7 linked regions of the Ovis aries genome follow. The protein of the gene in region 1 interacts with the protein of each later gene in a pairwise test. Links are inferred from orthologs where the notes say so. Each region holds a gene or a part of one and is shown in the gene's direction. Other genes may lie near its edges. The genes, in order: LMO2, ABI2, HNRNPM, IFT43, ZNF24, TLE5 and TAL2.

Region 1 (4,227 bases):
CCATAGGGACCTAAGCTTTGGACATGGACATAAGAAAAGGACAAGAGCATGCAGACAATGGTAAATTCTAGGTATGCATGTAAGAAGTTAGAATCAGCTTTAAACAAGGAAAACGAAGCCTACAGGGATGTACTTCTGACTTCACCTTCCAGGGTGATTTCATCCAGACCCTTCAGTGCCATCTTTAAAAAGGGAATACAGTGTCCATGACCATGATCTAGACTGCTCCTATAAAACCATGGATCCTGAGAATACTGGTAGTTTCTTCTTTACAAGACTTGTGGCACGCTCAAGTAGGCCTTTAGTAATAATTTCTGAATGCAATTATTTTCAGGGATCTCTGATGAGGCCCAAGGGACCTAAAGCTTTGCTCTATTGAAGAGAAGACTTTTAGCTTCCTCCTCTCCCGTTCTACATTCGCCTCTCTTCTTGGAGTTTGCCCTTGAGATTAGATGGGGAAGCCTGAACCAAACAAGTCTGCGTTCTCTCTCTTTTCCTGACCCAGGGCAAAATAGTCTCCAAGCATTGCTCTCCATCATTGGAGAGGCACTTTTCTCTGTGAAGAGTGCTATTGGCCCTTTACGGGGCCAGTTTAACTGTAGGGGTCCGATTTTTAAAGATGCTGAGGGAGGGAATTCTGCCGCCGGCAGATGGAGAGGAGACTCAGACCAGCTTGGTCCCTCCCAAACACCCTCCCTCGGGATTAGCTGCCCCTGGTGCTGCTGAGGCGTACCCAGCCCGTGCGGTCCCTGCTCGCACAGCTCCCGTCGTCTTTTTGGAGCGCGGACGCAGTCACAAGTCCTCAGCCAGCAGAGCCGCGCTGTCTTGGGGGCATCTCCGCGTTCCCTGGCCGCGGACCTGGGACCTCCAACCCCGGACGCGCGCGAAAGCCACTTGGAACGCGTACATCTCTGTATGTGTTTATTTCACATTTTCGTTTTTTCTTTCTTCCTTGAGCGGCCCGCTGGTCACTTTCAATCTTAGTTAACCAAAAGGGGAACGCCGAAGAGGGAAAGCCCTAAAGAATGCTTCACAGGCAACCCAGCCGCCTCTCCAAGGAGAGGTGGTCTCTGAGCGAGTCTCCCTTGTCCCCGACGCTGGCCCCTTTAAGAAGCCAACTCAGTCTTGCTGCGGCTGCCGCTGTTTGTATCGCTAATCCCCAGGAGCCCCGTTTAAAAAAAAAGGGAAGAAAAAAGATGGTGGTGGCGGGGGGGACCGGGCAGCTGTCTCTTTAAATGTGATTTCCTTCTATTGTATTTGAATCGTGATCAGGAAAAAGGAAATGAAACCAGAGACAGAGGGAAGCTGAGCGAAAATAGACCTTCCCGAGAGAGGAGGGAGCCGGGGGAGAGAGGCGCGGTCCCCTCCCCGCCCCCAGGCCGCCGCCCCCTCCCTGCCCTCGGCGGCGAGCTGCGCGCCGCGACCCCGGCTGAAGGTGCGAGGGGCGCGGGGCGGCCGGGCGGGCGCGCACCATCCCCGCGGGCGGCGCGGAGCCGGCGACAGCGCGCGAGCCGAGCCAGACCCGGCGGCGGCGGCGGCGGCGGCGGCGGCAGTGGCGGCGGGACCGGGATGGAAGGTTAAGTCCTGAGCAGCAGTAGCAGCTGCAGCCGCCCGGGGCCAGGCTGCGCGCCCCGGTCCCCTCCTCGGCCGCGGCGCGCCGGCAGCCCGGTGATTCGCTCTCTCTCTTTGGCGTTTGAAGGGAGCGCGGTGACTGTCCTTGAGCGCGGAGGGGCGAGCTCGCCGCCAGAGCGCCGGAGCAAGAAGAGGCGCAGGAGCGGCGGCGGCGGCGGCGGCGCCCGAGCACCCGAGGGGGTCCGAGCCCCGGCAGCCGGCCAGCCCCGCGCCACAAAGGGAGCGCCCCCGCCGCCTGGCACGCCACCTCCCTCCCCAATGTCCTCGGCCATCGAGAGGAAGAGCCTGGACCCATCTGAGTAAGTGTGACGCCCCTGCCACCGAGGGTCCACGGCCTCGCGACCCGGAGCGGCGGGGTGGGGCGGGCGGCCGGCGGGAAGGCTCCAGGTGCGCGCCCGCGGCGTGCCCTTGGTTCCCTCTGCCGTGCGCGGGGCTCCCGCATCCTCTTGGGTGACCCCGGGGACACTGGGAGAGGGGCTGGTGGCGGGCGGCAGGAATGCGGTCGGCCCGGCGCCTCAGCGGGCCCCTCGCGGCTCCCTGGGACGCTCCCTAAAGCCACTTCGGGCCAGAAAGTTTGCACAGGAGCATGCACAAGGGGAGGTCAGAGGCGCGCCGGTGCAGTCCCGAGAGCCTTCAGGACTCGATTCTGCTCCCTTTTCCCCTCTCGTTCCTTCTCTTTGTCCGTTTGGTCCTGGAAAGGGGGACACTACAAGTGGAGCCCCCCACCCCGGGTCCCCGACGGTCCCCTTCCGGGTCCGCAGGTGGAGCGGTTGCCCACGGCGCCGGGGACCCACGGGTGAGGAGGTGCGAGAGTTCACCTCGGAGCTCACCCAGGCCTCCAGAGACTTTAGAGCAGCCGAGCAACACGGGAGTTAGTCTGGATACGCGGACACGCCTCTCCCCTCGGAGTCCACCGATGGGTACCTTTGAACCTCCAAAGTTAGTGCACCATTTTGGATATAGGTGAATTTTTCCGGAGAGCGGAGTCTTAAACGGCTTTTGTCACAATCTCAAAGGGTTTAGGGTCTGGGAAACAGAGCTCTAAATGAACCGCATTTGTTTTCTGAGCCCATTGCTCAGTGTTAACATGGGGAGAGAGGGATGTTTAAGATGTCATTTTCCCGTCAGCGCAAATGCCCTTTTAAGATTCATTAGCTGTCTGGTTTTGAGAATTTTTATTCCTTTGAAGTCCCCATCTAAATCCTTTGAAGGGATTTGTTACACAGACCAAAGGAGCTGGTTAATGACTTGTCCATTTGTGCTTTTAAGAGGCATTTGTTTTGTTTTGTTTTCTTTTCCTGCTTTAAAAGAATTGTGCTTTCCTGATTGAAATACCTCCTCCTCCCAATTTCAGCCTCCTATGGTGTTTATATACCTGGGTTTTACCAGCATAAAAGCTCAGCGTGTTCTCATAAAACACAGGAAGTAACCATGATCCAGTGAGAATATAAACATCACTATTCAATCTTGAAGGTTCAGAAGCCAGATCTACAAGGAGTCAGGTTTGTTCTAACAAAAACCCAGCTTCCTTAAATTCTCAGGGAAAAAAATAACATTGCTTTTTTTTTTTTTTTTTAAGTATTTGTTTAGGAAAACTCTGGGAAGGGTGCTTTGCTCACTTTTTTTTTTTTTTTTTTTTTACAAACCTAGAATGATAACTTAGCCCTGAGTTTTCAGAGCCTGGGCAAGATGATAGTAATACAATAAGAGAGTGCATTGGATGAATTACCTTTGAAAGGTGCCTAATGCCTTTTCGATCAATAGAACTTAGTCACTAATCTTTTTATTAGAAGATAAATCTGGAGGTTTCAGTTCCCTGAAGGAAGGTTGCTCCTTTCAAAGTTTGTGCTTTTTCACAAAGAGACTGGAAAATTGAAACATGTTCACCTCATAACACAGCAGGCATCTGCGGAAGGATGCTCAGTAGGGTGCTCTTCTCTATCCTTTGCTTCACTATTTGCCCAGTGAAGATAGGCTTTAATTGGAGATGGACCAGCTAGCTGAGAAATTATTGCAGAACATTTTTCCCCCATATCTTTCTTGGAAACTGTTGAGAAATTATCCCAGAAATCCAGGCCAAAGTGTATTGAGGTGTAATGTTCAGATAGGCTCTAGGAGAATGTAAAATATTAATTAGAGGGTGAGTCCCACAGTTATTGGCTTGGAACCTCCACCAAAGATAATGTGATATTATCTTTAATTATAGAAAGATAGAGCCAATATCTTATTCAGTCCTTTCCTATCTCATATTAGGCCATCACAGACAGTAGCTTTTTGGCTTAACATTTCCTCCTGTGGACCACTACCCTACCAGATGCTTCAGTGAGTACATACTTGGGTCAGTGTGACTGAGGTCAGTCTGATCAGCAACTCCAAATTACACCCAGAAACTTGCCTAGGCCTATGCAAATGAAACATTTAGACAGAAAGACAGCCAGAATTCACACACACACAGATTTCCTCTACTGTGCCGTCGGTGGCCCCTCCTGCCTCCCTGTGAATAACAGGAGCAGTTCATTTCAATTCCAGGCAGTTTTGCACCAGCTAAGTGCAAATTCTCTTCTTTCACAGTTGGTTGGCAGGATCTGCGTCAGG
Region 2 (4,114 bases), on another chromosome or scaffold:
ATCCTTTAACTTGGGTTACACAGAAAAAACTCAAAACAATTTGCCAATGTGTATATCAAAAAGCCAATAAAACAATAGGAAAGCATTAAAGTGATTTGAGACAGTAATTTCCTCATTATCAGGGGAGAAAAAAAAAGGAGGGGCAAAATCACTAGGCGGGCCAAGAGATCACAAATACAAGACTTGAAATAATAGATCTTGCTCTAAACTGCAAAGGCAGTCAGCTTTGACTTTCCATGGTACAAATAAAGGTCATGGACTTTATAATATCTCAGCAGTTGTCAGAAATTTCAGTTTTTAAAAATTACATGTGTGGAGTAGTCAGATTTAGGGGAAAAAAAATATACAATACAGAATAGTAACTGCAAGACCAAAATGGTCTACCTTGAATTTTTGTGGCATTTAACGTTTTCCAAGGTGCTTTCATATAAACTTTTATCCATGTAATAGCCCTGTGAGGAAGGAAAGTACCAGCAAAATCGTTTTTTAAACTTTAAATCCTTAGTAGATGAGGAAAAAAGTTGATAGACTCAGGAAAGTGATAAAAACGATTGTCACTGAAGAGTAGCACAGAGCAAGTGGGAAAAGCTGAAGGCCAGAGGATGGGCAAAGGAGAAAAGAACCGAGGCTAACCTGGCAGGGGAAACTGTTGATTGGCAAACAGGTGCAAAGAAGCTGGAGGGCAGGAAATTTGGGATTAGGAAACTGAAATTTATTTATCCAAAGAGGATGAATACGGTCAAAGATGAGAAAAATTAAAAGTGGGGCGCAGTTAAAGCTGCATGGGAGTTCAGTGGGGCTAATATTATCCCTCAGGCCCACTACCATAAGGTTGGGCCCCAGGTTGAGGATAACGCCGAGGAAAGTCGCTGAAGAAGCGGGCGGGAAGACCGCAGAGCCGGGTGGGCGTTCACGCCGGACTAACAAAGGCCGCGGGGTGCACTGCCCCAGCCACGCATCCTGCGGGGGCCGAAGGGTTAACCGCGAGCTCAACTCCCGCGCGCATCCCGGCCCCCACTCCCGCGGTCGCTAGGAGACGCCGGATGTGGGGGAGGGGCGGGCGGCGCGACCAAGGGTGGGAACCTTTTTCGGGCTCCCGGGGGTGGAGGGAGAGGAGCGCGCGTGCGCGCGCCGGGCCGGCCGTCGCCGCGGTGACCGTCCTCCGAGTCCATCGGCTCGCGCCCCGCCCCCGTTCCCGCTGCCCCCTCCCCTGTCGCGCGCTCAGGGGGTGTTTCTCGCTCCTCCCGGGTTGCCGCCGCCGTCGCCTCGGCTCCTCCTCTCCTAGTCTTGGGTTTCCCTGGCGCTACTGCCGCCGCTGCCTCTGCGGTCTGTATGAGGAGGAGGATGTGAAGATGGCGGAGCTGCAGATGCTGCTGGAGGAGGAAATCCCGGGGGGCCGCCGGGCCCTCTTCGACAGTTACACGAATCTGGAACGGGTGGCCGATTACTGCGAGAACAACTACATCCAGGTGCGACGCATCTGCCGGCCTGGGCGTGTTGGGCCTCTGGCTGCTGAGCGGCGCGTGGGGGACCCCCGGCCCGGGGGCCGCGCCTGGGGGCGTAGGGCACACGGGGCCGAGGCCGCAGCAGGGACACAGTGCAGCTGAGCAGGGGTAGAAGCAGGGTGGGAGCGGGAGAATGGGTGAGAATTCTCCGGTTGGAGGAAATTGTAGCTTTCAAGCATTTTTCAAAAGCCGTGAATCAGTTCTCGGTGCGGGGTGTGTGTGCGTGTGTGTGTCCCCGCCTCCTCTCTTCCCTCGGCCGCCTCCGCAATCGGTGCCGGTCAATTTTCGCGATGGCGGAGGAGGCGGAGAGTGGCATTTTCTATTTGACAGAATCCTACTCCCCCATATGGCAAGGATTTGGGGTTTAATGGGTCGCCCCCAATCTCTGGAGGATTTTTGAGGCGCTATATTGCTGCAAAGTAAAATGCCGTAGCTTTATATTCATTTGAATGTATCAAAAGCTCAGCGTGGTTTTTTTGCCTTGTTTTTAGGTTCTAACTGAGGATACAGTATAAGAGCAGCTGTCCCCCTTGTTGGAAGTTAATGCCAGTTTTCTTCTCTATGGAGAATGAGAAGCTGCATGATAATGGTTTATTCCCTTCTGCCACCCGCCTCCAAGCCCGTTAGAAATAGCTAATTTGCCTGCAGGGAAATTTTTTGTGATTATCTTTCAGAGAGAAATGGGAAATAATTCTCACGGTTTAAATTTTCCGTGATGGTTGGTTTGGCATCGGGACTCAGTGATAGCACTGTATGTTTGTGTATGAAGGCGGGGGGTATTGGGTGAGATGAAATTGAGCCTCTTCTGGAAGAAGCAAGATTATGTGATTAAAAACAATTCTTTTTAAAAAATTATTTGAAAGGATAGTTTAAGATGCACAGTTTGCAAAGTCAGCATCTTTTGTTTTCTTTATAGCTTATTCTGAATCATAGGTTCTACCTCCATCTTTTCCCTTCCCATTTAAATTCTCTTGGGATATAGGTGGAAATGGAAGCAATGTGTTAAATTGTTCCTTCACTATGGCCTTTTTTCCTTCTCCCACCTCCATCTCTCCAGGCATCTTTCCTAACATCAGCTATATTGGGAAGCATTCTCAAGTCTTGGTGTGAACCAAAGAAAAAAAAGGTGTTAAAATTTATAGGTTCATAAATTTTGTAAGGATCATATGGTTAATCAAGGATAGTGTTGTAAGATATTACTTGATTGGACATATCCTGAGCACTATATTTTCTTGTATGGAATATTTGTACTGGAGAATGAATCAGACATAATCCAAGGCTTTTCCCTCCAAAGAGAAAGTTGAAAGTATGGCCAGCAGGAAAAGATAGAGTGTGTCTTGGGTCAAAGGCTCATATAGACAGTACAGATGTCCATATTCATGGGGTGCTTTGCTGATACTGAGTGTGGTAGGAGAGAGTAAAAGGTTGAGATGCTTAGTTTTCACTAAATATATTTGAAAGTGTAATATGGCCTGGCATTGTTAAGAGTTGATAGGTAGCTAGTGTCTACAGAATTTCATTGTATAGTTAGTGGGAAGGCTGATCTTTAGCAGATGAATTCCATTTTGAGCGTCAGTTTATATTCTTAATGGGCTGCAGGTGGGAAGAAGGACTGGAGGAAACTATGCTATCCTCACTCTGGAAATTCAGAGTCTCTAGGAGAGGCAAATTAAAAGGACTGAAGTAGTCGTTACAATTCCTTGTGCAACATATGGGAAAGAGTTACAGGTCTCAGAAGAGAAACAGGGTGGAAAGTGATTGGGTTGCAGTTATCACTGCTAATTTTTTTTAAAAAAGTTCTCTTTGTTTGGAAGATAATTTTTATTGTAATTTGAAGGTATAGTTCCTCTTAGGTTGCAGTTGTTACCTAAAGGTAAAAGTACCTGAGTTGATAAAGCTGAGAGAGTGAAGCGATCAACCATTGTCATCACTATATTCCTTGCGGTTCAAAGGAGAAGAATGTTGCTGCCATCATTTGTCTTAGCGGTGGGACTCAGAATTTAATGCGGTGTTTTAAAATTCAGAATATAAGTGCTGATTAATAGAAATGGATTTGGATTTTAAAATACCTTGTTTCTTCAATTTAGAACCTAAAATAGGTGCTATTAGGATCCAGTGGGTATATTATTGGCGTTCTCTCAACAGATGACAACTCGTACATGATTTGTTTGTAGTAAAGTTGATAAATAGAACATGGTGATAGTGGATTTGTGCTGACTCAGCTGCACATTTGGCTGGCTCTTCCTGTAACCATCGAACTGACCAGCAGGGCTTCTGATGCAGCCTGTGACCCTGCAATAGATGCAAGTCAATTAGTGATCTGATGGTCAGGTTAGCCTTATTATAGCAACATGTCCTAACCACTAGCTCAAGTTAACTTCACCTGACACTCATTTTATTTTGTGCAAGGACAGTTTTTGCCTGTAAAGCAGGAAAAAGACATTTATTGATAGGTAACATGATAAGGTTCTTTGCTCAGCATCCTTAAATGCCTGGTTTTATGCATGAGAATATAAAAATAAGATAATATTCTAAATGTGGATTACATTTAGTGTAAAAATAGAGGAAAGGAAGAAAAATGGTGGTGTCCTTCTGAAAAGGCATACTGT
Region 3 (4,282 bases), on another chromosome or scaffold:
GCTTTGCGACCCCATGGACTATACAGTTCATGGAATTCTCCAGGCCAGAATACTGGAGTGGGTAGTCTAGCCCTTCTCCAGCGGATGTTCTCGACCCAGGAATCGAACCAGGGTCTCCTGCATTGCAGGCAGATTCTTTACCAGTTGAGCTATCTGGGAAGCCCTAGCTCCACCTGGGAAGCCCCCAAACCCCCATAGCAGAGAGAGGCTTAGCCTCTGCCTCACATTGAGTTTACTGAATTTATTCTCTGGGCCTGCAGTTCTCAGCCAGGGTCAGAATCACCAGGCTGGATTAAGTATTTAATTTGGTGGAAGGTGTAGCAAGTGGGAGAGTTTCCCAGAGGCTGATGAAATGTAGTTATTCGGTGAGAGAGGGTAAAATGACAAGAACAAGAACAAACCAACAAAACTCTTTCCCTTTGTGAGTTTAGAGAGAGTTTGGGGGTTAGATGGGAATGTCTGCAAGTTCCAGTGAAACATTGCAATGTACCAGAGACACCAGAGAGAGAGGCGGCTGCTGGGGAAGGGAGCCTGAGGACTGAGTGCTGGGGGCTCTGGGCTCTTCCCAGGCCACTGTGGCTGCCCCAGAACACAGCCCTGTATCAACCCTGAAAACCCATCTGAGGACAGGGCCAAGCTCTCAGAGCAGCAGGACGCAGGGTCAGGCAGGAATGAGTCCAATCGTCTCTTTTATCATGTAATTTCTATCAACAGGTTTGGCTTCTTGCTTGCGCACTCACTTAACAAACATTCATAAACACAAAGGAAGTCTCCAGCTAGACACCTTGTTGTTAGTTGATGGCTGTTTAGTGACAGAGATTTGGGCCACGGGCTCTGCACTCAGAATTCTTACGCCGGATTTAGCCCAGGTATTCCTTGTGTAGGATGAGATACTTTCTTAACGAGACATTGTTAACATTTTGCACATTTGTCCTACTGCTTGGCCCTTCGGTGTCCTACCCTTGCCTGGCTAACTCCTTTATAGCCTAGGAAACAGACCTTTAGCTGTCATTCTACCCCAGCTCGGATTACACAAAGCTGGGAGTGACGAGGTCCAGGTGTGGCGGGTGGAGAGATGCCTCCCTCATTAGATCTGGCAGAGGATGAGATGGTTGGATGGGATCACCCACTCAATGGACGTGAGTTTGAGCAGACTCCGGGATATAATCAAGGACGAGGAAGTCTGGTATGCTGCAGTTCATGGAGTCGCAAAGAATAGGACACGATTGAGCCATAATAACAACTACACCTGGAGAGCGGATACTGTATCCAGTAGGCGCCAAACAAGTTTGTTGCAAGAATGAATTAATAACAGCGGACTGTGCGTGCTAGCGCGCGGCGGGGGCGTGGCCCGGAGCAGGGGCGTGGCCCGGGTCCAGAGGGAAGGAGACCGGAGGCCGCCGCGGCGCGCGCAGGCGTTACTGGTCGCGCCGAGTCACGTGAGCACGCAGGCGCAGCGCCGCGCAGCACTCTCGCTCACACAAAGCCCAGACGCGGAGAAAATGGCGGCAGGGGTCGAAGCGGCGGCCGAGGTGGCGGCGACGGAGCCCAAAATGGAGGAGGAGAGCGGCGCGCCTGGCGTGCCAAGCGGCAACGGAGCTCCGGGCCCGAAAGGGTGAGTATTTTACGGCTCCTTGTTCCAGGCTGGGCGCTTTCGCGGTGGCTGGCGGCGGCTCCGTTAGATCTGCTGGGGCCTCCTCCCGGCGCGGCCTCAGCTGGGCTTTCTTTCCCCTCAGGGTCTGCCGAGGGTGGAGGCGGGCCAGGCCGTGAGGGGGGAAGCCGGGCGGCTCCGTGAGCGCCTGTAGGACCGCTCCCTCCCAGGCATCAGGTCTCAGCTCCTTTGGTCTCTCCAGACCGGGTCCGACGCTGAGGCCTAAGGCCGGGCCTCTGCGCGCAGGGATAATGGCGCGCGGGCCCCAGAGCCGACGAGACCCGGAGTCCGCGACCTGCTGGCTTGTCGGGTGACCTTGGTTGGGCGCGTGGCTTCACGTCTCTTCGCCGTCGTCCGGGGTCTCAGTTTCCCGATCCGTAAAGTGGGGGATAGGGGAGGGAGTGCGCACGCAGGACCTCGCGCGCGGTCGGTCCCGGTAAACGGTAGCGGAGGCGGGTAGGTATCGGGAAGGACCGCGAGGACGGCTCCGGACTCCCCCTCCCCCTTCCGCCCCGGCGCGCGCGGTTCTCCTCCCCCCACCCCCCAGGCCCCGCGGGAAGTGCCTCGGTCGGAACCGCCCCTTGCCCCAAGCCTCAGCTCCTCCCCAGGTGAGCAGTAGGTATTTGTGGAGCGATCGGATCTGCTGCTCAGTGTTCAGCCGTAGAAACAAAGTCTAAGGGGAAAGAAAGAAAAAGGGAAACATTTTCCATGTTCTAGGGGAAGATTTTGCATCATTAGGCGGGTTCATCCATTTCCAAACTCGGTCACCCTTTCGAGTCCTTTTGGGGGCTCTGTCTCAGGTCTTCTGTTTTGAAAGTTTTCTTAAAACTTTAAAGCATCGTCTTGTGTCTCCGCTGAACCCCACTCATTCTGATTACAGTCGCCTGAGAGGTGCGGAAAGACGTTTTGCCTTCGCCCGCCAACTGTAGGGGGAGGTGAGGGGAAGGCTTGGGCACACTTTTGATTTCCCACATACATTTTTTTAAAAAAATCTGGTGAAATTTACAGTTTCAGCCATTTTTAGGTGGATGATTCTGTGGTATCTAGTGCATTCGCGGTTTTGTGCAACATCACCAGTATCCACGCTGAAAACTTTTTCCTCACCCTAAATAGAAACTGTAGTCATTAAACAGTTAACCATTCACCTCTCCTGTATACCTGTGCTATGCGTTCTGTCTCCTATGGATTTGCCTTCCCACCAATTTTTAATGTGTATAATTAGAGTTCATGGGGATTAAAAGTGAATGTAGTTAGTTTGCTAATGAACACTCACTGAATACTAGCTATATTGTTAAACTCTCTCTCCTGAGGTAGGGAGGAGCGAAATACCTTGGAAATCAAGAAAAAGGCATCCTAGAAGTAATCCCAACTCTTTTGTTGTTGAAAACTGAAAAGGGACGTGTTCATTTAGACTTTTTAAAAATAACTTGTTTAAGGGAGCCTGGTAGGATTTTTGAGGACTATGTTTGGAGGCCTTTAAGATATACATTTATGTCTTTTTTTTTTTTTTTTCCTTTTCAAAGCGGTTATCACAGGATGGAGTGCTGCTAGAATCGTGCTAGGTGAGAAGTTATTAGTTACAGATTATAGCATCTGGGGTACATTTTCCAAATTTCCCATTTTCCACAGTCCATTTCCAAATAGTCATTTTGTGACTGATTCATTTGACAAACATAAAACATGGCCTTCAGAAAAAATCTGAAGGTTTCAGAAATTAAAAGTCTTTGTTGGAAGAACCTCAGTCTGAGACTGTTTAAATAGAGAATATTTTAGGCTGTTAGGAACACTTAGGTCTTTTTTGTAGGGCCATTGGAAAAGTTTGTATTTTGGGTGTTTTTGTGTGTGTGTGTGTGTTTTGCATCGGGGAGCTTTTAAAGCGGAACTCTTTAGAAAACAGTCCCCCTGCTCATAGGGAGGGGCCAATGGATATTTTTGTAGTAAAGTGATATAAGTAAAAGGCATTACCAGGGGTGGGGAGCTTGGAGGGTCTCCCCTCCTCCAACCCTAAGCTGCTGGGGGCGACCAGGTGTTCCCCTAGGAGGAGGAGGATGAAAGGTGATCATTGGAGGGAAGCAGAGGAGTGTTCAAAGATTTTGACATGTTTGATATATATTTATAAGGAACTTCATTTTCCTTTCACTTTCTTTGTAAAGAACTGAAACTGCTGGAGCACTGGGGGCCAGCTGGTGGGCAGTGAATTCCAGACTAGGGAGTTCAGATTTTTATCTTGAGAGCTTTTTTTGTGATTTTGTGAAAGTCGCTCAGTGGTGTCGGACTCTTTGTGACCCCATACAGTCCATGGAATTCTCTAGGCCAGAATACTGGAGTGGGGAGCCTTTCCCTTCTCCAGGGGATCTTTCCAACCCAGGAATCGAACCCAGGTTTCCCACATTGCAAGTGGTTTATCAGCTGAGCCACTTTTGCGGGATGGGAAATGAGAGACTAGATTCTTCTCACCTTTGTATCCACCAGAAGTGGAGTGTGCTGAAAGCTGAAAAGGCACTGAGACAGCAAGCTGCATGAGGACCATGGGAAGCACAACCTGTTTTGCAATTCCTTTTCTCTGCCAGCTGTAAGCTGGCTGTTTTTTTTCTTACATTGATGAGAAATGCATCCATCTAAGGACAGTCA
Region 4 (3,937 bases), on another chromosome or scaffold:
AGAAGCCATCTAAAGCCTTATGCCTAGGATGATGCTGGAGACACTTCACTTTCAGGGCCATGAACTCAAGTTCTGGGGTCCCAGCTGGCAGTCCCCAGTACCAAGGATTGGTCAGTGTTATTGAATTAGGGAACCTTATATGTAGAGTCAATGAAGACTCAACTCGATAGTCCCATTAGGCTGGGAATTTGGGGACCATCTTCCTCTACTGGCCCAGGAGACTGGCTGGCACCCAGTAATACATGCCAGAGAAAAACACCAGTAAGACCTGGGGTCAGAAAAGCATGTGGCTCTGCTGCTTAATACTCAGGTGGTTTTCCTCAAGGTACTGTTCTGCACCTCACTGTCTTCAATTGTTGAATAGAAATACTACTTTTGCTCACTTCATGGGGGCTTGAAGGGGTTATTTGTACTTTTGATAGTTATATTTGATGTGTTGGTTCAACTGCTCTGTCAACTTCTTGAAGGCAGAAATTAGGTATATTGCACTTCTCATCATAAGTCATTTATTAGCACCTGACCCTCAGGGTGTCAGTTCAATGGAGATAGTATAACTTATCTTGTCTCCTACAAAGTTGTTATGCATTTTCCATGCACTAATAACTGTGAAGTTCCTCTGTACATTGACAAGAGCTATACACATGAAAAGGATAAGAATAATTACTACTATTAATAGTAGTGCTTTGCACTTTACAACTTACCTATTTGAACAGAGGCCCTGATGCTGGGAAAAATTGAAGGCGGGAGGAGAAGGGGAAGACAGAGGATGAGATGGTTGGATGGAATCACCGACTCAGTGAGTCTGAGTAAACTCTGGAAGTTGGTGATGGACAGGGAGGCCTGGTGTGCTGTGCAGTTCATGGGGTCGCAAAGAGTAGGACACGACTGAGTGACTGAACTGAACAGAGGTAGGCAGTTTCTAAAAACTAAAACTTTTCACTGTCCCACAGGAGCACCCTCATCAGGATTTAATATGTGGAGATTCCTTCCAAATGTCATAAAAGGTAGGTTTAGGAAAGATTTGGTTTAAATTTGAGGATGGCACCTACACTCCAGGAAACAATGAAGCGGACCCTTTAAGTCTTGGAGTGAAAGGGCGGAGCCGTCGTCAGGGACGCGGCTGAGCGTCTGGGTTTCCAGGAAGTGACGTCAGGCAGCCGCAGAGATGGAGGACTTGCTGGACCTAGGCGAGGAGCGGCGTCGCGGCCCGGCCACCTCCGTGAGGACCGACTCGGGGCGGGGATCGGGGCCAAGAATTAGCGGGTGGGGAGGGGCGACCCCGCCGGCTCTGGCTTCCCTGAGCCGCTTCGGCCCAGCCTGTCCCTGGCGCCAGGAGCCAGCAGGCTCTGAGCCTTGCGGGAGAGGAGGCGGCCTCCCTCGCCCCGCCCCTGGGGCAGCGGTGAGCTCCGCTGCTGGCCTAGGGTTTGCTTTCCTTAAAATTCTCAAAGACTGGAAAACAGATCCTGCCCCTGCCGGCCTGTGAGAACGGTGGGAAATTTCCCAGCTTCTCTCCGCTCTCTGGAGCTCCAACTTGCCAACTTCCCAAGGATGGACAGATAGATCTGAGAGTGACTGGAGGTGCCCTGGCGAGGGTCACACTTGCACTCATGCTAGAGCTTTTTCCCTTGGCCATGTCACGCCAGGAGTTGAAGTAAAAACCGTACTGTTTTCAGAGTGGACGAAGGGAAAGGAGTTAGGGAGAGTCTTTCTTTCCACTCACCCCCAGGGGAGATGGGCGTTCCCTCAGTTTTAAAGAGCGAGGGCGTGGCCGGAGGCGAGGTGGGGAGCCCAGAGGTCAGAGGGAGTGTAAAGCTGTTGCATGGGTTAAAGAAAGTTAACCTCGATTTCCTTCTCTCTAGAGTGGAGATTTATGTCTCCTTCAAGGAGGTGAAGATGAAACGAGACGTGCCTGGAAAGCATGTAACACAGCAACTGGCATATGCTGTGGTTAGGGTTAGGGCTGTTGCTTCTGAGGTCGTGATTTACCCAAGGTTATAGCCGGGTGTCGGGAAGATCCCCTGGAGGAGGGCATGGCAACCCACTCCAGAATTCTTGCCTGGAGACTCCCTTGGACAGAGGAGCCTGAATGGCTACAGTCTATAGGGTCTCAAAGAGTCTGGCACAATTGAAGCGGCTTAGCACGTGTATATATATAGATAACTGAGCTAGATTCAAGACCCAAGTTCGGTGTGTGTCTCTTAATTCCATCACAGCCTCACCAAGCCTTTTTACCTTTAAAATTACTGAAGATCAGGGTCACAAAAGATTGGCCCACAAGTCTTTAGTTTCTGCCGTGGAATCTCTACATGTCTTGAAGTGCCCTAGTAACATCGGATAGCCTCCAAATTGCTAGAGAGGAGATATGAGGAATGGGAGCAAATTGTTCTAGAAAGAAGCAGGTTGCTTGACTGACCAAGGAGAATATTATGTCATCAGGCCTTTCTTGATATGTGTACTTTTTTAGTACCGGGAGAAAATGAGTGTAGTTACTCATTTATTCTTTCAACAAATATTTACTGAGCTCCTTCTGTGTATCAGGCATTGATTGTCCTAGGTGTTAGAAATATAACAGTGAAAAGAAAAACTAAGCCCCTGCCCTCATGGGGCTTATGTTTCAATGGAGGAAGATGGGCAATAAAGAGACCATACATTTATTTATTTATTTTTTTAAAAAAATATTTATTTATTTATTTGGTTGTGCCAGGTCTTAGTTGGAGCATGTGGGATCTAGTTTCCTGACCAGGGATTGAACCCAGGCCCCCTGAATTGGGAGCTTGGAATGTTAGCCACTGGACTACCAGGGAAGTCCCGAGACCATACATTTAAAATATATAAAACCAGGTAGTAATGTAGTTTCTCTACCAGTCATTCCTATGGATTTATACAGCGTCTTCCAAAAGTTTAAAACCTTAAAATCCTTGACAAATATACTAGAGAAACCATCTATAAACAGTAGAGACAAGATCCTTGAAGTTTTGTTTGACCACAGTCACTCTGTGTAATATGCCATATTCGGATACCCAATGTTATCATATATGGAAAAGGGCAGCCACAGGTGAAGGAGTAGAATTGTCTACCTTGGGAAGAAAATGAGCTGCTTATTGTCTGAATATTGTTTCTGTCATTCCTGAAATCTAAATGATTGATTAGAATTTCATGTGTAAACACTACATAATGGTTTTTTTTGCAGCTCTCATGTAACTTCTCTCAATTTATTGATCATCTTAGAACATCTTAGAACTGAAATTCCAGCAGGTCACAGAAAAAGCCTTCAGAATTTGAAGGCAGAGATTTTGCTCTTATGTTTATCTGCCACTTTATTGCTTTCCTGGGTCTCAATTACATCATTTGTAAAATGGCCTCAGTCTGAGCCCCTATTATTGTGAAATCAAATGAAGCTACATCGGATGAGATCTAAAAATGCTTACAGTAATGCTGGTTTTTTTTTTTTTTTTTTAAGAACAAGAAAAGAAAAATATAAACATTTCAACACCCTCCAGTCTGCCCAAATAATGTTTGTATGTGCTGGGAGGCATTGGAGACACAGATGGAGCCCTCCACCCTAGGAGGGCTTTGGGAAACACCTGCAGATGGGTCCTTTGATGACTCAGAATTTGAAGTGTTCTGATTCCCAAAGCTGATGTCTCAGAAAATTCTTATAAGAGCTTTCCTTTAATGTCTGTAAGTGCAAATCCAATTAGCATATACGTCAAAGGAAATGCTATCTGTATTTCTCTGGTTTCAGTTTCCATGGAATTTCTTCCCCCACCAAACGCCTTTTTGATAACTATTTTCATGCCAAGCTGCAACTTTGAAGTTAGGCCCTCCTGAAATCCCACATCAGGACATGGGAGCCTTGACCATACTCTGCCTGAGCTGTGGCATGAGCTCCCTGTCCCTTCTAGAGGAAGTTCTAGCTGCATTTCTTTGGGTAGAA
Region 5 (4,130 bases), on another chromosome or scaffold:
GAGGATGAGATGGTTGGATGGCGTCACTGACTCAATGGGCATGAATCTGAGCAAACTCCAGGAGACAGTGAAGGACAGAGGAGCCGGGGTGCTGCAGTTCATGGGCTCACAGTCAGACCAGACTTGGCAACTGACCAACCACCGTGTAGCAGGCAGTCAATATCCTGGGATTACTATGTGGAGATACTGTGGTGAATAAGGCAGGCACAGTCTCTGCCTCTATGGGTCTTATGGACAAAAGCAAAACAAACAAACAAAAAAATAGAGAAGTGAATAAATGAGATCGCTTCTACCCAGTGCTATGAGAGAGGGGAGGCTTCCAGGAGGAAAGGTGGTCAGGAAGGCTGAGGATCCAGACCACAATGAGCCTATAGAGCTGGAGAGTGGGGGTGGGGGCAGGGAACAGACTAGTGGGGCCTTACAGGAAAATGTAAGGAATTTTTATGTCATAATTAAGACAGTAGGGGAAGATTCCCCTGAAGGAGGAAATGGCAACCCACTCCAGTATTTTACCTGAAAAATCCCAAGGACAGAGCAGCTTGGCCGGATACAGTCCATAGGGTGGCAAACACAATGAGCAACTGAGCACAAGCAGGAGTAAGGCAGTTAGGGATCCATTAAACGTCTTTACATAGGGGAATTAAGTTGTCTGATTTCTGTTTTTAAACGATCACTTTGGCAGCTGCTTTGTAATATAAACTGTCAAGCCTCAAGTCAGAAAATGACCACGCATTCTGCAAATTCAGTGTGAGCTCACTGCCAAAGCTCTTGGTTAAGAGTCTCATCTTGTTTCCCTGACAAGTAAACTGGTCATAATAAAGTTGTATGGCATAGCAAGTAGGAGGCAAAGGTGAGAGTCATGCCTTGGTTTCAAATCTTGTTTCCCACTCACCAGTTATGAGCACTCCGCAAGCTATTTACTTGTGCCTCAGTGATCTCAGCTGTGAAATGGGAATAACAAAAGTACTTACTATCTCAGCGTTGTTGTGAAAATGAAATTACATGTAAAGCACGGTGACAGTGCCTGGTACAAAGTAATTAACATTCATAAATATTCATAATACTTCTTTCAGAGAACTACTGTGACGATCACATGAGATAATGCATGTGAAAAGGCTTATGAAACCGTAAAGACTGTCTTAGTGGCAGAATTCTTTCTTTTCCTTGTCTTTCAAGCGGAACCCAGAAGGCTGCGATACCGGGGGAGGAAGGCGCGAGGCCAAGCGCAGCCTCAAAGCAGTCATTGTCGTTGGACAGCCCTTCCCCCGGCCCAGAGCACATCTCCATGGCAACGTGGGGCTTCGCCTCCCCCCCGCCTCCTGGGGCCCACAGACCGGAAGCAGTCCGCGCCGGGGGCTGCTGGGAAACGGCTCGTGAGCGGCGTTTCTGCGTCGGCCGAGGACAGCGAAGCGGCTGTGGTTCCCGAGCCCGAGGTTTGCGCGAGTTGGGGGGAAGGGTGTGAGAGACGCTGGCCTGGGGGCTGCAGACTGCTTGACAAGAGTCAGCGAAGAAGCCTGGCGGGAACCTTCCTCGGCTTCTCCCAGAGGCGTGGGGGACAGGCCGCGGTCTCCGTGCCCGGCACTTGTGGGACGGGCAAGGGAAGACGAAAAGCCAGATCGGGCTTTCAGCACCCTCGAAGAGTCCTCCATCCCTTGTGTCCTTCGCGACCCCCGACTTCCCCTCCCCCATCGGCCGGTTTTGTTCTATTTCGAGGCCCTGGCATCTCGCGGAGAATTCTGGGATTCTTCTCGGGCGGAGGTGGGAGTGGGCGGGCCTCGCGCGGGGCCTGCTGGGACTTGTAGTTCAGCTGGCCGCGGGCGGAAGTGCCGCGGCTCGTTTGCTGTTGTGGCCGGGTGGCATTCGGTCTGAGGAAAGCCGCCGCCGCGAGTGCAGGGAAAAGGGGCTGACGTCGTTGGGGTGGGGGCGCGGTTCGAAGCGGCACTCTGCAGGAGTGCGTGGGGAGGTCACTTGGGACCGGGCTCTCCGCCCAAAGACGGTCGGGACCGCGGACCTGCGCTCCCCGCAACTCCTCACATCCCACCGCCAGAGTGCTGTTTGAGAACGTAAAAGGAAGAGAAATGTCTTTTCTGTAGAGTGCTTGAGCCGTAGAAAGGTAGGGTCTTGGAATAGAAACAGATCTGTAGGCCAAAGCTACGTGTTTATAAGGCCGCCACACTCCAGAGTATTTAATTAAACTTGTGTGTATGTTACCTGATAAGATCTTTTCTGATTCCTAGTTTTGGTAGGGTTACAGGAAGTTTTTGGAAATTAGCTTTCGTATTCTGGGGCGTATATGGGTACATTGAGCAGCTGCGTGGCTCATTCTTAACGGGTGTTGTAGACAATGGCATGGGCATGACTGTGCAAATACCAAGGAAAGGATCAGAAATAGCACAAGGTTTCCATGAACGTAGTAGCTGGGGAGATTGTGAGTCATTCAGTGTCAGCGGAAGAATCTGCACCACAAAGGTGTTACGAGAGTTCTTTTTTCCCCCTAGAATTTGCTGATTAATGCCTGTCGTTCCTAATTTAAAGGTATTTATGGTGTGGAGGGTAACTGAAAAATAATTAAATTTTATGGCACATAGTGGTTCCTTTTTTCCAACATTATTATCTATTCCTGACCAAGTGAATTTTTTTAACGTGTATTTAAAGTCCTAGGAGTTCTTAAACATTTAAAAAATAACTGTTAAACGTTTTGTGAAAAAAAGTTTTTTTTAACAGATAGTAAAAAAGCAGTCCCTGCTTTTGAGATGACCTAAGTGTGTCAAGGAACACCAGTATTGAATTGTAGATAATGTGTTCAAGGGTCAGATGCATTTAGATAACACTGAGAAGGGCTGGTTCTTAACTTGGATTCTTTTGATTGTTGAAATAGGTTTTGTTCATAGGTTGGCAAACTTTATCTCTAGAGGACCAGGGTAAATATTAGGTTTCTCATGCCCTATAGTGCCTATTGCAACTACTCAACTCTGCTATTGTAGTGTGAACAAATGAGTAAAATTATTTATGGAGACAGACGATTTAATTTCATGTCATTTTCACATGTAATGGAGTGTTCTTTTGATTTTTTTCCAACCATGTACAAGTGTGAAAACTATTCTTAGTATACGCATTGTACAAAAATGGGCAGCTGGCCAGATTTGGTCATGAGCTGTAGTTTGCAAACTTCTAGTTCAGGTTATTGATTGGCATTTTTAATCTAGTAAAAGAACACATTTTTATTTCCTTTAATCAGTCTGTGTCCAGGTTCTTAGAATATTTAGTCATTTATAAATTTTTCATTTCTTGTGCCTCAGGAGTGCCTGTGAAGAAAACTGGGTATTTCCCTAAGGTATCTTGCCTTGATTGTCTTTCCTTGAAGTATCACAAATCAGGATGTCTGCACAGTCAGTGGAAGAGGATTCAATACTTATCATCCCAACTCCAGATGAAGAGGAAAAAATTCTAAGAGTGAAGTTGGAGGAGGATCCTGATGGTGAAGAGGGGTCGAGTATCCCCTGGAACCATCTTCCTGACCCGGAGGTTTTCCGCCAGAGGTTCAGGCAGTTTGGATACCAGGATTCACCTGGGCCCCGGGAAGCTGTGAGCCAGCTTCGAGAACTTTGCCGTCTGTGGCTCAGGCCAGAGACACACACAAAAGAACAAATCTTGGAGCTGGTTGTACTGGAGCAGTTTGTTGCCATCCTCCCCAAGGAGCTACAGACTTGGGTTCGAGAGCATCATCCAGAGAATGGAGAGGAGGCAGTGACGGTCCTGGAGGATTTAGAGAGTGAACTAGATGACCCTGGACAGCCAGTAAGTTTCCTGTTAGGAGTACTGGCGTAGCAGTATTCACAGCTTCTGAATTAGTTCCACTCAACTAAGTTAGAATTATGTTTATGCTTCCCCTCCCCCCCCTTCATTATTTATGCTGCTTTGCCCTCTAGGCCTCTGCAGCATATGTTTTGTATGATTTCTTTGGTGTGTGTTTTAGTTTTGATTCTCATCAAATTCCTTCTCAACTGAACCAATTCCTATCATTTCCAGGTTTCTCTTCGTCGACGAAAACGGGAAGTGTTAGTGGAGGAGATAGTATCTCAAGAAGAAGCTCAGGGATTACCGAGTTCTGAGCTTGATGCTGTGGAAAA
Region 6 (2,881 bases), on another chromosome or scaffold:
GGGCCTTTGAGAAATATCCAAAGCTCATCCTTGCTGGGGCAACCCAAGAGAGGAGGGGGATCACCAGCTCTATTATCCAGTGATAGAAATTTATACCCCTCCCCCAACCATGGAAATCAGAGGTCACAAGATGGGCTGGGGGCCTTTGAAGATTCCTTACTGAATTCAGTCCAGAGCCCTGCCAGTGGGCTCTGGGCCCTTGTAACCTCTCAGCAATGTCTGTTTATTCCTTCTTTGCTGGAGAGTTTTGCCCAGTGGGTGGGAGTATGGCCTTTGAAGCCAGCTTCCTGGCTGTGTGACCTTGAGCCTGTTCACTCAACCTCTCTGAGCATCCATTGCATCATTTTTATGAAGGAGACTGACGTTAACAGCCCTGACCTCGTTGGATTTCATGATAGGAAAAAGTTTCTTTGAATCCCTGTCTGACCTACAGTCAGGATATTTGCTCTGACTTCTGTTTTTATTATTTTCATTGCTTTCTCCACCCCCACATCTTCAAGGTGGGTTTCATCATCCCCAGTTTCCAGCTAAGGCACCTTTGGGTCCCCTTCCCCCCTCTTCTCTCTGACCCCCACCAAAGTTTGGGGCTCCCTTGCACAATGAGGGGGACATCATCCCAGCCCTGGCCCTCCCCCTCTTCTTCTTCAGTCTGAAACTCGAATGTGACAAGCTGGCCAGCGAGAAGTCAGAAATGCAGCGTCATTACGTGATGGTAAGCCAGCCCGGGGGTCTGGTGGGCAGGGCCAGAGGACCCCAGGTCCCCCTCCAGCACTGGCAGCTGCTGTCTGAACCCTGGCCATCTCCTCTGGGATGTGCGAGAAGTCAGGGTCTGCTCTCCGCTCAGCCAGCCCCTGGCCGGGCTGAGTTAATCTTGTTGGCCTGGCTGCCGGCCCAGGCAGTGGCCGAGGTGCCAAGCCACCGGGTTGCGGCCTGGGCCTGCCAGGTCCCTGGCTGTCCTTGGCAGCGGAGGAGCCAGTGGCTGTGAAAGCCAGGAACTGGGGTTAGAGGGGGGTTGTTGATCCCTCCCCTCCCCACCCCCACTGTCTAAGCATCCCAGGCTTAACCCCTCCTAGTCCAAGCTTGGAGGAGGACTCCTGGAGGGCCCCCTTCCCCAGGCAGGAGGCTGACACTCTTTTGAGGTGGGTGGGTGGAAGGGAGGGAGGGGGTGACACTTCCTTCTTGGGCCTGACATTGGAGACCCTGCCCCTGCACACTGCTGGAATCACTTGCTTCGCTTCATATGCACCAGGTGGTGATTTCTGCATCAAAACCCCTGCCTAAGCCCAGCCCAGAGCCCACTTCCCCCAGGCCATGGGGGAGGCAGAGCTGGACAAGGAACCTCTGGATTCAGAGGGATGGGGCTGGGGCACTCCAGAAGGGTATGCTCCTGTTTGGAGAAAGACTGCATGGAGAAGGAGGCACTGCAGCTGGGGTCCTGATGAATGGATAGGAGCCAGCTGGGCAGAGAAGGGGAGACCACACAAACCTGGCTTTCTCCCCCTATCTTCCCTGGGGGGTGATGGGGAGTCATAGGAAGGTTTAGAGCAGGGGAGGTGCAGGGTCAGATGTGGGGCATGAGGAGGGGGGGCGCTGGCCCCAAAGGCAGACCCAACAGGATTTGTTTATCCTCGATTATTTATACCCAGGAAGACAAACTTCCCTGGAGTCCGGGGCCACCCGCAGACAAGACACATAAAGATAAAAGATTAGGAGCCTTGGAGTGTGTGTGTGCCTGTGTGTGTGTGCGTGTGTGTGTGCGTGCGTGCGTGCGTGTGTGTGTGTGTGTGTGTGTGTGTAGGGGTTGAGGTCATTATTCCAGAAATGGGGCATTCAGGGCCCCACTGGCGTCCCTAGCATCCTCACCAGGCACCTGGGCCCCAGCTCCAGGTGTGGGTGTCTCCCCGCTTCCGACTCCATCTCTCTCGCCTGCCCTCCCCTCCTCCTACCTCTCTCTTTCTCCCCCTCTTTGTCTCTCTCTGTCACTTCCCCTGTGTCTTTTGTCTCTGGAACCTCACATCCTTCACCCACCCCCATTTCTGTCTCCCCCCTACACAGTACTACGAGATGTCCTATGGCTTGAACATCGAGATGCACAAGCAGGTATGCCCCCTTCCCCCCTCCTCCGCCCCCCTGCCCCGCCCAGGCAGGTAGGAACCCGCCACCCCTTGGCTGAGAACCAAGACTGCCTTGGTATCCTGTTACCTCCGGAGCCCCCCCACTTCTGTTCTTTCTCAGGCCTCCCTGGGAGGTTGCTCTCCCTGAGGGGGAGGGCAGAGGCTTTCCCAGGACCTGCCACCCTCACTCCATTGTCTCTCTTTTGTGACAGCCCTGGGGGAGGGGGGTGATATGACCTGCCAACCCACCCTCCAAACCCTATCTCAGGTGTGTTAGAGAATTCTGATGCCAGCTGCCCCGACCTCTTCCTCCCTCCCTCTCACGGAATGCTCACTACCTGTGAGGCATCGGGCATCTTTCCAGGGCCACCCAGACCCCAAGCCACTGGGCCTGGATTTCGCTCTGTCCTGGGCTCTTAGCTACCCTCAGAGACTCAGCCCCCGGGGCCACTTTTGCTGCTGATCGGGTGCCCATGGGCCTGATGAGTCGATATGATCCTGGGACTTGCCGGCCTCCTCTTGGATTAGACAGAACCGCTGGGCTTTCCAGGGCTGGTCTGCACCTGCCCTGGCTGGCTGCTGCCCAGGGCTGAAGTGTCTGTCTGTTCCAGGCTGAAATCGTCAAGAGGCTAAATGGGATATGTGCCCAGGTCCTGCCCTACCTGTCCCAAGAGGTGAGCAGAGCCCCCGGGGGTCTGCTGGGAGGAGATAGACCCTGAACTTCCCTCAGCCCCACCCCTCTGTAGGCATCTGTGTGCCCCAGGGCA
Region 7 (4,130 bases), on another chromosome or scaffold:
TTCACAAGTCATTTTTATTTATAAACATATTTTTGTTGTATTTATTCCTCAACACTTTTATAGCCATTACTGTGTGTCAGGCACTGTTGAAAGTGATTTACAAATATTAAGCTTATTTAATTCTCCTAATAGCCTTTGTCTACCACCAGTGGCTGCAGGGGTTCAGCAAGGGAAGGATATGGGAGACTCTGGGATGGCCTGGAAGGGTTTGTAGGAATGGAAAGAAGGATTTAATCTGCTCTTTAAAGATTGTGTAGAAATAGGCAAGTAAACAGTGAGGAGGGAACTCATGGGACAGAAAATGCAAAGGTATGGAATTGGGAATATTTACTACTCTTTTGGTGGGGGGAGGTGGTGGTGTGGGGAACAGGAAGGGACCCTCTGACCAGGCTGCTGAGACCGGAGCAGGTAGCAAACTGATAGCCATGAGCCAAGGGTACCAAATGTCTGGTGCTGGGTTTTGGCTTATTTCCTGATGTGCCATAAACATTGCCATTGATGTATGTTAATCCAAGCCACCTGAACAAAGGGGCCTGTGCCTCTCAGAGGAAAAAATGGCACGATTAGGATTGGCAATACGTGATAACAATCACCTCGCCTACGGTTGGAAAGATCATCCAAATTCAACCTTGGGGAGCCTGGCTATCTTCCGCAGCATCCATATCAAATTGTCGCCCTTCACCTATTCCTTTTCTTTGTTTGGCGTGCTAAATAACCCCATTGCTATTCTTCATACAACTGGACTTCAAGATTCTTCCTCACCCTGTTCATCCTCCTCTGACTGTGGTCTGGTCTAGACATTTTAGCTCTTACACAGTGCGCCCAATCCTACAGATAAAGTCCACCACCCAGAAGGGTTTTGCTGTCACCTTCTTCATTCCTAATTTATGTTGTAAATGAAACCTAGGATCACAGCCCCCTCCCCCCTTTTAAAGAATCTAAATTCAACTCCCTATTAACAAATATGTATTTTATTCTCATGTGTACTCAGTCCTACGCCGTGCCTGATTCTGAACACTTAGGAAGAGTTGGTTATAAAAGAAGTAACGGGAGTATTAGGATAAAAACACCATGTTACCTGCAGGCTTCGAGACAACCAGGGAGAGAAAAGCTGACAGGAGGTGTTCTCACTGCCCTTTCTTCTGCCGCATTTTCTTCTCTTGTCACAGGAAGATCCACAACACCTGGAAATGAGGCAGCACATCCCCTAAGATCTGGGTGGAAAAGATGAACGGCTCAAGCTCCTGGCAGGACATGGGCTACCCAGCAGGCCTCTGACAAGGTGTTGGCCCTCAGGGCCCTTTCTCTTTCTTGTCTCAGGAACTCCAACATGACCAGAAAGATCTTCACGAACAGCAGGGAGCGGTGGAGGCAGCAGAACGTCAACAGTGCCTTTGCCAAGCTGAGGAAGCTCATCCCCACTCACCCTCCGGACAAGAAGCTGAGCAAAAATGAAACACTTCGCCTGGCCATGAGGTACATCAACTTCCTGGTGAAGGTCTTGGGAGAGCAGAGCCTACAGCAAACAGGAGTGGCCGCTCCCGGAAACATTCTGGGCCTTTTCCCTCAAGGACCCCACCTGCCAGACAGGACTCTGCTTGGTGACTACCAGGTTCCATCACCTGGCTCAAGCCACCACATTCCGTGATAGTGGGGCTCTGGCTGTTGTGACCCCAGGCAGCACTGGTTCAGAAGTCACTAGCTGTCAACAGCCTTTTTGCAAGTACTAGAGTCAGCATGGTGAATAATTTGTGAGGCGTGAACTCAAGCTTCATAGGAGGTGTCTCATGGTCAGCTGCAGAATGCTAAAAGAAGGCCAAAGGGAGGTGGCCACACATCTTCCCCGGGGGCTTCAGGCAGAGCAGCCTGTATCTGTTGATTTTATAAATCCAGGTTCCTGCATAAGATGTTATTTGGGGGGAAAAAATGACCCTTAGACTGAAAAAACTGGTTTGAAAATCACTGCTTTATGTAATATGTTTTCAGTTGTAAGAAGAGTTTCCTCAAAATGGATCGCAGATCGATGAGTAGAAAATGCTACCCTCCGAACATATTTTAAAGTTTGTTCTGAAAAATGAGGCATATGTGATCAAGGGTGAACAGCATAAGACAAATGAAAAGATAGCTCTTGCAGAAACCAGCCTGGAGACTTGTGGGGAATCTGTGGATAAAAGACCCTTCTGACACATGAGGACCACAAGAAGGCAGCAGATATGTGCAGGAGAGCTCTGCATCCTCTATCTCTATGGAAATGTGAGGTGTCACTTGCATTGGACCACGAGTATATGTGTTATCGCTAAAGCCAAATGGCACATTATACCCATGAGAGGAAAGGACATGATAATTTGTGAGAGTTCATGGTTTTCTTATGAAAAGAAGTACTAAAATAGTTTTCCTAATCCTTTAGTTTCACATGTCAGGTATTGAAAACTTTCAATTCAGCATGAGTTCTTGATGATTTAAGACCTGTGAAATTCAAATAGAATGATGAAAATCTAAATATTACCATTTAATAGCTCATTTAACAGAGAGCTTAACAAAAGATTTAGAGTAGACAATAGGAGTGTAATACCAGACTCTAATGAATTGATGGATATGTGATTTGTTTTCCCTGCTGAGGAGCATTAGCTCAGTTTTGCACTGGGAGGGGTGGTGCCCACAAAAGAATGAAAGGCGTGGATCTGGCAGAACTCACAACCGTATGCCACCATGATAACGCTTGGATTAAAAAATGAATCCCATAGTTAAGCCCAGAATATAAATAATGTCATTTGATTGTCTCATCTCTGGAATGTTTTATTTTCCCAAAATTCTTGACAGAACATTGGTTTTAAAACCTTCTGAACTATAGGTAGGAAATTGATGGGTTTGAGATTATATATATACACAATAGAGGAATTTAAATTTTCTGCCCACTCTAGAAAGAATATTCAGTTTATGGAAGGCTGAAATGAACCTCTTTGGTTTGGTGATCAGAAGAAATCTGGATGAGTCATCCTCAGAATCTCATTATCAAAACAGCAAGTTCATAATGTCATTAAACTCTACACAGCATTCACACTTAACGGCACAATGCATTTATTAAAACAATGCATTTAGGACTTCCCTGGTGGTCCAGAAGTTAAGACGCTGCACTTCCAATGCTGGGGTTGTGGGATTCCTGGTCAGGGTACTAAGATCCCACATGCCGTGTTAGCTAATTCAGTCACTCAGTAATGTCTGGCTCTTTGTGACCCCATGGATTGCAGCACTCTAGGCTTCCCTATCCATCTGTAACTCCCAGAGCTTACTCAAACTCATGTCCATCAAGTACGTGATGCCGTCCAACCATCTCATCCTGTGTCATCCCCTTTTCCTCCTGCTCTCAATCTTTCCCACCATCAGAGTCTTTTCCAATGAGTCAGTTCTTCGCATCAGGTGGATTGGAGCATCAAAATATTGGAGCCTCAACTGAAGCATCAGTCCTTCCAATGAATATTCAGGACTGATTTCCTTTAGGATTGACTGCTTGGATCTCCTTGAAGTCCAAGGGACTCTCAAGAGTCTTCTCCAACACCACAGTTCAAAAGCATCAGTTCTTTGGCACTCAGCTTTCTTTATAGCCCAACTTGCAAATCCATACATGACCACTGGAAAAACTATAACTTTGACTAGACAGACCTTTGTTGGCAAAGTAATGTCTCTGCTTTTTAATATGCTGTCTAGGTTGGTCATAACTTTTCTTCCAAGGAGCAAGCATCTTTTAATTTCATGGCTGCAGTCACCATCTGCAGTGATTTTGGAGCCCAAAAAAATGGAAAAAAAAAAAAAAAAAAAGAGCATGCTGTGTAGCATGGACAAAAAATAAAAATAAGTAATGAGAATAATAAAATAATTTTTTTTAAAAAAACAATGCATTCTTGTGTGTAGGTCCTTTCTTTAAACAGCATTGAATAAACATCCCCACAGACTCAAAGTAGTCCAGGCAAACACATAAACACAGAAACCACGGGATTCCCCCAAATTTGCATTTCTTTCTCATGAGCTTTCATTGTTCTCATGAGCTTATGTGGACTTAAATTTGTCCCCAAACTACCACATGATATCACATCTCAAAACTCTGGTGACAGTTGTCATTTGAGTAATATTGC

Evidence for each region.
Region 2: the proteins of LMO2 (region 1) and ABI2 interact in binary tests that used the Homo sapiens proteins (3 or more experiments, as listed by UniProt). The link is inferred for Ovis aries from reciprocal best matches to the Homo sapiens genes LMO2 and ABI2.
Region 3: the proteins of LMO2 (region 1) and HNRNPM interact in binary tests that used the Homo sapiens proteins (3 or more experiments, as listed by UniProt). The link is inferred for Ovis aries from reciprocal best matches to the Homo sapiens genes LMO2 and HNRNPM.
Region 4: the proteins of LMO2 (region 1) and IFT43 interact in binary tests that used the Homo sapiens proteins (3 or more experiments, as listed by UniProt). The two-hybrid records come from large-scale screens. The link is inferred for Ovis aries from reciprocal best matches to the Homo sapiens genes LMO2 and IFT43.
Region 5: the proteins of LMO2 (region 1) and ZNF24 interact in binary tests that used the Homo sapiens proteins (3 or more experiments, as listed by UniProt). The two-hybrid records come from large-scale screens. The link is inferred for Ovis aries from reciprocal best matches to the Homo sapiens genes LMO2 and ZNF24.
Region 6: the proteins of LMO2 (region 1) and TLE5 interact in binary tests that used the Homo sapiens proteins (3 or more experiments, as listed by UniProt). The two-hybrid records come from large-scale screens. The link is inferred for Ovis aries from reciprocal best matches to the Homo sapiens genes LMO2 and TLE5.
Region 7: the proteins of LMO2 (region 1) and TAL2 interact in a two-hybrid assay, tested with the Homo sapiens proteins (2 studies listed by BioGRID and IntAct). The link is inferred for Ovis aries from reciprocal best matches to the Homo sapiens genes LMO2 and TAL2.

Annotation. Positions count from the first base shown.
Region 1 is NC_056068.1:63,296,662-63,300,888, reverse strand, and holds the start of LMO2 (rhombotin-2), read left to right. Parts: upstream 1-1,427; 5' UTR 1,428-1,569; coding exon 1,570-1,576; intron 1,577-1,699; coding exon 1,700-1,931; intron 1,932-4,227. UniProt on the Homo sapiens protein: Acts with TAL1/SCL to regulate red blood cell development. Also acts with LDB1 to maintain erythroid precursors in an immature state.
Region 2 is NC_056055.1:205,328,360-205,332,473, forward strand, and holds the start of ABI2 (abl interactor 2), read left to right. Parts: upstream 1-1,314; 5' UTR 1,315-1,352; coding exon 1,353-1,469; intron 1,470-4,114. UniProt on the Homo sapiens protein: Regulator of actin cytoskeleton dynamics underlying cell motility and adhesion. Functions as a component of the WAVE complex, which activates actin nucleating machinery Arp2/3 to drive lamellipodia formation.
Region 3 is NC_056058.1:14,800,700-14,804,981, forward strand, and holds the start of HNRNPM (heterogeneous nuclear ribonucleoprotein M), read left to right. Parts: upstream 1-1,482; 5' UTR 1,483-1,502; coding exon 1,503-1,615; intron 1,616-4,282. UniProt on the Homo sapiens protein: Pre-mRNA binding protein in vivo, binds avidly to poly(G) and poly(U) RNA homopolymers in vitro. Involved in splicing.
Region 4 is NC_056060.1:85,438,774-85,442,710, forward strand, and holds the start of IFT43 (intraflagellar transport protein 43 homolog), read left to right. Parts: upstream 1-1,137; 5' UTR 1,138-1,165; coding exon 1,166-1,219; intron 1,220-3,460; exon of another isoform or gene 3,461-3,675; coding exon of another isoform or gene 3,676-3,681; intron 3,682-3,937. UniProt on the Homo sapiens protein: As a component of IFT complex A (IFT-A), a complex required for retrograde ciliary transport and entry into cilia of G protein-coupled receptors (GPCRs), it is involved in ciliogenesis.
Region 5 is NC_056076.1:22,076,439-22,080,568, forward strand, and holds the start of ZNF24 (zinc finger protein 24), read left to right. Parts: upstream 1-1,330; 5' UTR 1,331-2,113; intron 2,114-3,299; 5' UTR 3,300-3,378; coding exon 3,379-3,798; intron 3,799-4,029; coding exon 4,030-4,130. UniProt on the Homo sapiens protein: Transcription factor required for myelination of differentiated oligodendrocytes. Required for the conversion of oligodendrocytes from the premyelinating to the myelinating state.
Region 6 is NC_056058.1:18,528,392-18,531,272, forward strand, and holds part of TLE5 (TLE family member 5), read left to right. Parts: intron 1-648; coding exon 649-712; intron 713-2,055; coding exon 2,056-2,100; intron 2,101-2,725; coding exon 2,726-2,788; intron 2,789-2,881. UniProt on the Homo sapiens protein: Transcriptional corepressor. Acts as a dominant repressor towards other family members. Inhibits NF-kappa-B-regulated gene expression. May be required for the initiation and maintenance of the differentiated state.
Region 7 is NC_056055.1:17,406,267-17,410,396, reverse strand, and holds TAL2 (T-cell acute lymphocytic leukemia protein 2), read left to right. Parts: upstream 1-1,330; coding exon 1,331-1,648; 3' UTR 1,649-3,850; downstream 3,851-4,130.